Linked DNA regions of Cricetulus griseus. The protein of the gene in region 1 purifies or fractionates together with the protein of each later gene. This does not show direct contact. Links are inferred from orthologs where the notes say so. Each region holds a gene or a part of one and is shown in the gene's direction. Other genes may lie near its edges.

Region 1 (3,646 bases):
ACTGACTGCAACAAATTGTTCCCTGACTTCCTTTTGTGTGCTGTGGCAATTCATGTCCACATGATACACAATAAGATAAATTAACACAGTAAGAAACTTTAATCTTAAAAAAAATCAAAACATGTTTAGGTCTAACAAGATGGCTCAGAAGGTAGAGGTGTTTGTCGCACAAGTGGGGGGCCTGGGTTCAATTCCCAGACAGAACCGACTCAGCTGAGGTGTCTTCTGAGTTCTGCATGTGTGCTGTGGCGCGCGTGCACGCGCGCGCGCGCGCGCGCACACACACACACACACACACACACACACACACACACACACACACACACTCTGCTCATATTTGAAAAGAAGAAATCTAGCCACGAGGTGGTGGCAAACACCTTTAGTCCCAGCACTCTGGAGGAAGAGGCAGGCAGATCTCTGAGTTTGAGGCCAGCCTGGTCTACACAGTGAGTTTCAGAGTAGCCAGGGCTGCACAGAGAAACCCTGTCACCAAAGTTTTTTTGTTTTGTTTTGTTTTGTTTTGAATCTTATTTACCCACACCTCCTCCAATGCTTGGCTCAATAAAAATTTAAATATATGTTGTTTTTAATTGACACATAGGAATTATACAGATTTTACTGGGTGTGGTGGCATTGCTGCCTGTCATTTTGAAACTCAGGAGGCTGAGGCAAGGGGATTGAGTTTGAGACCAGTCTTGGCTATGAGTAAGCATCTTGTCTCAAAAAGCAACCAAATGGGGGCTGGAGAAATGACTCAGTGGTTAAGAGACTGGCTGGTCTTCAGAGAGCCTGAGTTCAATTCCCAGCACCCACTTGGTTCCTGACAGGCAGCTATAGTGGGATCTGATGCCCTCTTCTGGCCTGCAGGCATACATGCAGATAGAGTACTCAAACATAAAATAAATAAATAAATAAATCTTAAAAAACAAAACAAAGGCAAAGCCAAAACAACCAAACACCCCTCTTTCCCAGCTACACATTTATAATAGAAGCATCATGAATGGTTTTTCACTCCAGCACATTGGTGGTGTGCGATGATCAGATTCTGTCAGAATTGCTGACTCTTCCCAGATGGAAAGTGTAAAAGGATGTCTTATTATGGTCTTGATTTGGGTTTCCATGACTGTTAGCTTACCAGTTAGTAAATTTCTAGACTGTACTTCCTTCCGTTTTGAGTTTGAATTTCCTTATGCAAATCTTCTTAAAGTACTCTGCATAAACTTACCCACATCCCCTTTCTCCAAACACCAAACTTTTGCACACCGCCCATATTACCTTTCTTGCATCAAGATTCAGATTCTTGTTCTCTCAGTAGGGTCTCATTCTGTCGTCCAGGCTGGTCTCAAACTTGTTATTCCCTTTCCTGAGCCTCACCAGTGCTAGAATTACTGGTGTTTAGCAGCATATCTGGTTTAACAGCCTTAACACTCACACCCTTCTGCTCTTTTGTCTTTAATAACCACAGTTACAGACCGACTTCTTCCATGAAATATCCTCTTATACTCACAACCAGATTTAGGCCACTCCTTTAGCCACTGAGTTCTGACTGGCTCTCTCCATTGGCCAGACTATCAACTGGAACAAGACAAGGTGGCTTAGCCGTTGAGAGTGCACATTGCTCTTGCAGAGGATCCGAGTTTTGTTGCCAAACAGTTTGGGCAGCTCACAGCAGCCTATAGCTCAAGGGGGAATCTGACACCCTCTTCTGGTCTTCAAGGGCAACTGCACTCATGAGCGTAAATCTACACAGACTGGAAAATAGATAAATAATTAAAGAAATCTTACCTTTTGGCTGCGAAAATAACTCATTAGGTAAAATGTTGGCTGTGTGAATGTGAGGCCAGGGCTTGGGATCCCTATACCTGTGTAGATGCCAGCTGGGCATGGTGGTCTCCCTGCAATTCTAATGCTTGAGAGGTGGGGGCAGGGAATCCATGGAGTAAGCTGATAGCTAGATCGGACTATATTGGCCAGCCCTGGGTCACCTGAGAGACCCTGCCTCAATGAATTAGATGGAGGGCAATCGAGGAAGACTCCCAACACCAGCTTGTCTCGAAAAGACTGTAAGTGAGAGGGCCCTCACTGAACCCAGCTGATTCAGTGTTTCATAGCCAATGGGCTCTCAGGCCTCTCCACTTACTTGCCCATGGGGAAAGAGAAACACAGAGGAACTCTGGGGTTGTGCATCTGCCTTGGCTAGAGAGGAGGAGACACAGAGAACGAGGCGCTCCAGCTTAGGCTTGTGGACAGGATGAGGAGTAGAAGGAAGCTGCAGGCAGAAGTTGAAGCCTTTCAGAAGGAACTGGGGGATTCAAAGGGCACACGCCCCTGAGGATAGCTGGGTGGTTTCCACTTTCGCATCATTCCTAGTTGAAGATGCCAGAGTGCTCTTTAAGGCTGGCCTCTGTGCCTGGCAGTGCCTTGCAGGACCCAGGCTCAATGGAGAGACGCAGGTGAGGCCTGGCACAGCAGTTTCGACTTTTGTTCTGAATCACATGCGAGACCTCCCGGGGAATCCCAAAGAATTTTTGGGAGGAGGGTTTACAGGTGGATGAGGCCTGTGATGTCAGGAGGAAGTAAGAACGAGGATTGGCCGATCATAGTACATTTCCTCATCTATACTACAATCTTGTGCTTCTGAGTCTTTGGTTTGGGTGAAAGGAATACAGTTGTCCTATGGGTCTGGGAAGGGCTGACTGCTGAAGGGGGAGCCTGAGCTGCGAGTCACCAATTCCACACCACATAGAGACACATAGTCCTCACATCAGAATTTGAATAACTTTGTGCCCAAAGCACTTAAAGCATAGGCGGCCACAGAGCCTTCCCGAGGACCTAGGACAAGCTTCCCAGAGGAAGGATCTTGGATGTCTGAAGGCATGTCCCACGGGGTCAAGAATGTGCAGAGCAAGGGGTTTGCTTGTGGGCAGTCTCTAGCTAGTGGTATCGACACCTTTTTCATCTATAATGGATTGAGAGTCAGGGGCAAGGAGACCCTTGGTTTTTGTTCTAGACCATTTACTGAGAAGGGGAACCCAGGAAGAGGGCCAGCGTTAGGACAATGACAGTCCATGCTGAGGAATGGAAAGTTAGAAGAAGGGTTGGGGATGTCCAGCTTGTCATTAATTCCTGTTTCAGAGCTAAGCCAGGCTGCCTCTAGCAGTTGGAGCTGATGACATGGGTGTGTCCCCATCTCACTGTCATCTGCTGCTTTGTGTTCCCACAGAGGTTCCTTTGTGTCTGGCTTGTGTGGACCCTTCCAGGAAGTGAAGTCGTGGAATCCCGAGCCTTAGTCAGGCAGTCCCAGACTCGGGGTTTGGGCGTGATCACTAATGGGCAAAGGGTTTGGGCTCCTGAGGAAAACCTGCCAGTTAGAGGTGGCTGAGCCTCAGTGCCCCTCAGAACTGGAGAAAGAGAAGAGCATGACGAGGAAGAGGGGGCTGTCTAGAGAACACTGTGGTGCTTGGGACCGCCCTCATGGTGAGTAGAGCCTCCTCTCTCTCTTACCCACTCTGTTTTGGAAGTGGCACACCCCACATTAGTTTTGTGCTAGTGACTTTCGTCTGCTGACTTGTCAGCTGAAACCTGTTGCCCCTGGAGTTTTCATTTGCCTTGTCCTGTCTCAGAAGCTCTTTGTCCAGGACTCTGA
Region 2 (4,160 bases), on another chromosome or scaffold:
CCTGGCTTCACTCACATGCCCCCTCTCCCCAAGTTCCTGGTAGGCCTGGCTCTGAGGAACGCTCTGGAGGAAGCTGGCTGCCAGGCTGATGTCTGGGCTCTGCAGCGGCAGCTTTACCGACTGGGAGGTGTGGAGGCTACACAGGCCCTCATCCACCATCTCCAAGAGCTCCAGAAAGGTGGACTTGAGGACCAGCAAGTGTCGGTAGACGCCTTATCTTCTGCTCTGCAGCTCTTAGCCTGGGAGCAGCCAGGTCCAAAGAGGGTCCCACGCTCTCTTTCTAACGCAGCCTGTGACAATGAGCGGGAGCAGAGTGTGCACAGTGTGGTTGGGCTGCTGCCGGCAGTGGGGACCTACTACAATCTAGGCACAGCATTGTACTATGCCATTCAGAACTGCTCCGACAAGGCCAAGGAGCGAGGCAAAGAGGGAGCCTTAGATCTGGGTTATGACCTTTTGATGGCCATGGTGGGTGTGTCAGGGGGGCCGGCTGGTGTGGTGATAAGTGCTACTCTTAAGCCAGCATTGAAGGCTGGGGTTCAGCAGCTGATCCGATATTATTATGACGAGAAAGAGGTGAGCCTCTCTCTGCCGGAGACCGTGCAGGAAGACCGTGACTTCGAAGAAACAACCATGACTACTTTGGTGTCAGAAGTTGAAAGTACATTTTCCTACTGGGACCAAGCCTTGGAACAGGACTACAGTATCTGGGCATACAAGAGGTAGTAACAAACAACAAATAAATGGAAAATTCTGACAGAGAAGGAGTAGTATAGATGGATGGATGGGTTTGGGGTATTGTCATCACTTGCCAGTCATTTCTTGAAACTCAGTTTTTTATGTTTCTAATGAGGGAGTAGTGAGTTTTCACCTGAACAAGTGGTTATGGAAATTAAAAACTGATAACACGATCCTATGGTATTTATCATTATGTCCTCAAAAATATGTGCCTCGGCTCTTCCCTCCCTACCTAAAGTATCGAAATGCAAGTCCCACCCCTTCTGCGGAGTCCTTGGTGCCTCTGCACGCTCTGGTTTCGTTTCCTTTTCCTGGGAGTGCAGGTTCGGGAAAGTCAGCTGCTTGAATTCTTGGGTATGACATTAGTTGGGTTCCGCCCCTCTGGGAGCCTCTTCGCCAAACACGGAGCTCGGCGGTGTGGTTTCCAGCAGCTCGCCCAGCCCGGTGGTGGGCGGGGCCAGGACTCCGCCAATGAGGGCGTGACGTGGGAAGGGCGTGGGCGAGCCTCAGCCAGAGCCCGGAACGGCGAATCCGTAGGGCCCGGTGATCACGGTCTGGGTCCGCCGAAGTCAGGGGCGGGGTGGGGTTCTTGAGCCGCCCGGAGGAGTGGAAGTTGCCGCGGGAGCCACTGGGAGGAGCGGCACCGGAGCCTCAGAAGGTACAGGCCCGGAGAGCGTGTGCGGAGCAGGGAGGCGTGAGTTCGATCTCGGGAAGGGCCACTGCCCCCGGGATGCCCCTGTCCGGGATGTCACACCCTCGCTTTGCTTTTACTTTTCAGCCCTGTCGACCTTCTTCCAAAACTCCTCCGCAAACCCTGAAGCCTGGCATGCAGCATTTGACCCTTGTCATAAGCCAAAGCGTTATCTGTCTATCATCTGTTTGTTATTTAATTTGTAAGCATGCTTTGTCTGTGTGCCACATCCGTGCAGTGCTTGTGTTGGTCAGAAGAGGTCGTCAGATCTGGGACTGGAATGCTGGTCATAAATTGCCATGTGGGAGCTGGGAATCGAACCCAGTGGGGTCGTCTGGAACAGCAGCCAGAGCTCTCACCCGCTGAGCTGTGTTCCCAGCCCCTTTGCATAATATTTTATCCTTACCAAAATAAATAAATAAATGAAAACACGGACATCCTTATTTGTTATGTATGTATATATGCATATATACATACAATCAAATATATATATCAAATATATATACAAATATAAACTGTAAAGTCCTGGGAGATGAAACTGCTTGCTTAAGGTTACACACACAGTCTAGTTTATTTCAGAAAATTTTATTTAGTGTAAAATTGAGAGGGTGAAGCTAGAGAAAGCACTTTGCAGCTCCCATAACCGCAGTACAGTCCACTTAGGAAGACTTGTTTGTTTTGAGGCAGGGTTTAGCCCTGCCTGTCCTGGAACTTGCTGTGCAGACCGGGCTGGGCCTCTGCTTCCCCAGTGCTGGGATTCAAGGTGTGCACCACCACAGCCAGCAACTTTTTTTTTCTCTTATGTTTGGTTTCTTATTTAAATCTCAGAATTTACTTGTTCCCTTGCTTGGATACTAGTCCTTTAATTCCTGAAGAACTGGGATCTTGTCTTTAAAATGATGTTTGTTTGTTTGTTTTTTGAAGCAGGGTTGGTTTCTCTGTGTAGCTCTGGAGCCTGTCCTGGAACTAGCTCTTTTAGACCAGGCTGGTCTCAAACTCATAGAGATCCACCTGCCTCTGCCTCCCAAGTGCTGGGATTAAAGACTTGTGCAACCACCGCACAGCAATGTTTTTGTTTCTTAAAAGCAATACAGGCGTGGTGGTGGTGGTGCACACCTTTGACCCCAGCACTCTTGACACCTTTAACACCCAGACAAGTGGATCTCTGAGTTCAAGGCCAGCCTGGCTACAGAGTGAGTTCCAGAACAGCCAGAACTACACAGAGAAACCCTGTCTGGAATAAATAAATAAATAAATAAATAAATAAATAAAAGAGTCAAATACCTGTCTGATGTTGTAGTTATGTAGTTCAGCTAGAGCATTCACAGAGCACAAGAGAGGTCCTCTGTTTGATCTCCAGCAAGGGGCGGTCAAGGATTATTATTAGAAAGCTAAAATGAAAAATTGGCTCTTGGTGGGTGGAGAGACAGCTAAGTGGCTAAGAGAGCTCATTGCTCTTGCAGAGGACTGGGGTTCAGTTCTGAGCACCCAAACTGGGAGACTCACAACATCCTGAAAGTCAAACTCCACAAGCTCTTATGTTTTAAATTAACCCATTTATATTCCTTTACTTACTGCCGTGCAGTTCATGTGTTGTTACCTCATTTTGTACACGTCCTGTTTCCTCTGCATCTGGCTGGCGACTCCTAAGACTCTTCCCTTCTTTCCAGCATTCTCCTAGTGTGGCTCTCCTGCCCAGCTATAGGCCAGTCAGCTCTTTATTAACCATTGAGGGTAATACATATTCACAGTGTACAAAAACTGATTGATCCACAGGCTGGAGAGATGGCTCAGTGGTCAAGAGCACTGACTGTTCTTCCAAGAGGTCCTGAGTTCAATTCCCAGCAACCACATGGTGGCTCACAACCACCTTGAATGAGATCTGGTGCCCTCTGCTGGCATGAAGGCAGAAGACATAATAAATAAATAAAACCTTTAAAACAAAACAACAACAACAAATGATCCACAGCAGCCCTGCCTGACCTAAATTCACTATGTAGCTGAGCCTGCCCTTAATGCTCCTGCCTCCAACTGCTAAGTGCTGGTATTACAGGCATGTGCCACCAGGCTCAGGTCTTGAAAGTTACTAGTAAACAAAAAGTACTACATATGACAACTATTTAATAGTATTCCCTGGAAAAACTAAAGTAAACTGTAATAAGAACTATCTTTAGAGAGAAAGGACAGAAACCAAAACCGAGAATAGAAGCAATGTAATCTGTATCTTGTTTTTTTTTTTTTTTTTTTTTTTTTTTTTTCAAGACAGGGTTTCTCTGTGTAACAGCCCTAGCTGTCCTGGCACTCACTCTGTAGACCAGGCTGGCCTCTAACTCAGAGAAATCTGCCAGTCTCTGCCTCCCAAGTGCTGGGACTAAAGGTGTACACCACCACAGCCCGGCTATTTTCTGTGTCTTTTAAAGATTCTTTTTATGTTTTTGAGTTTTGTGTATATGTATGTAGGCATACCACCTAAGTGCCTGATATTCTCAGAAGTCTAAAGAGGGCATCCATCCAATCGATCCCCTAGGAATGGAATTTAGCGCCACGTGGGTGTTAAGAATCAAAAACTCCTCCTCTAAAAGAGCAACAAGTGCTCTTAAACACTGAGCCAAGACGGGCGTTGGTGGCCCACGCCTTTAATCCCAGCACTCGGGAGGCAGAGGCAGGCAGATCTCTGTGAGTTCGAGACCAGCCTGGTCTAAAGAGCTAGTTCCAGGGCAGGCTCCAAAGC

What was found. Proteins that work in one complex are often made in the same cells at the same time.
Region 2: the proteins of Usp18 (region 1) and Stat2 purify together in Homo sapiens (affinity purification with western blotting; 6 studies listed by BioGRID and IntAct, with this or other methods). This does not show direct contact. The link is inferred for Cricetulus griseus from reciprocal best matches to the Homo sapiens genes USP18 and STAT2.

Annotation. Positions count from the first base shown.
Region 1 is NC_048601.1:23,648,335-23,651,980, reverse strand, and holds part of Usp18 (ubl carboxyl-terminal hydrolase 18), read left to right. Parts: intron 1-3,223; 5' UTR 3,224-3,329; coding exon 3,330-3,477; intron 3,478-3,646. UniProt on the Homo sapiens protein: Interferon-induced ISG15-specific protease that plays a crucial role for maintaining a proper balance of ISG15-conjugated proteins in cells. Regulates protein ISGylation by efficiently cleaving ISG15 conjugates linked via isopeptide bonds.
Region 2 is NW_023276806.1:129,601,064-129,605,223, reverse strand, and holds the start of Stat2 (signal transducer and activator of transcription 2), read left to right. Parts: upstream 1-1,230; 5' UTR 1,231-1,396; intron 1,397-4,160. Other genes in the region: Apof (apolipoprotein F), read left to right, coding at 1-726. UniProt on the Homo sapiens protein: Signal transducer and activator of transcription that mediates signaling by type I interferons (IFN-alpha and IFN-beta).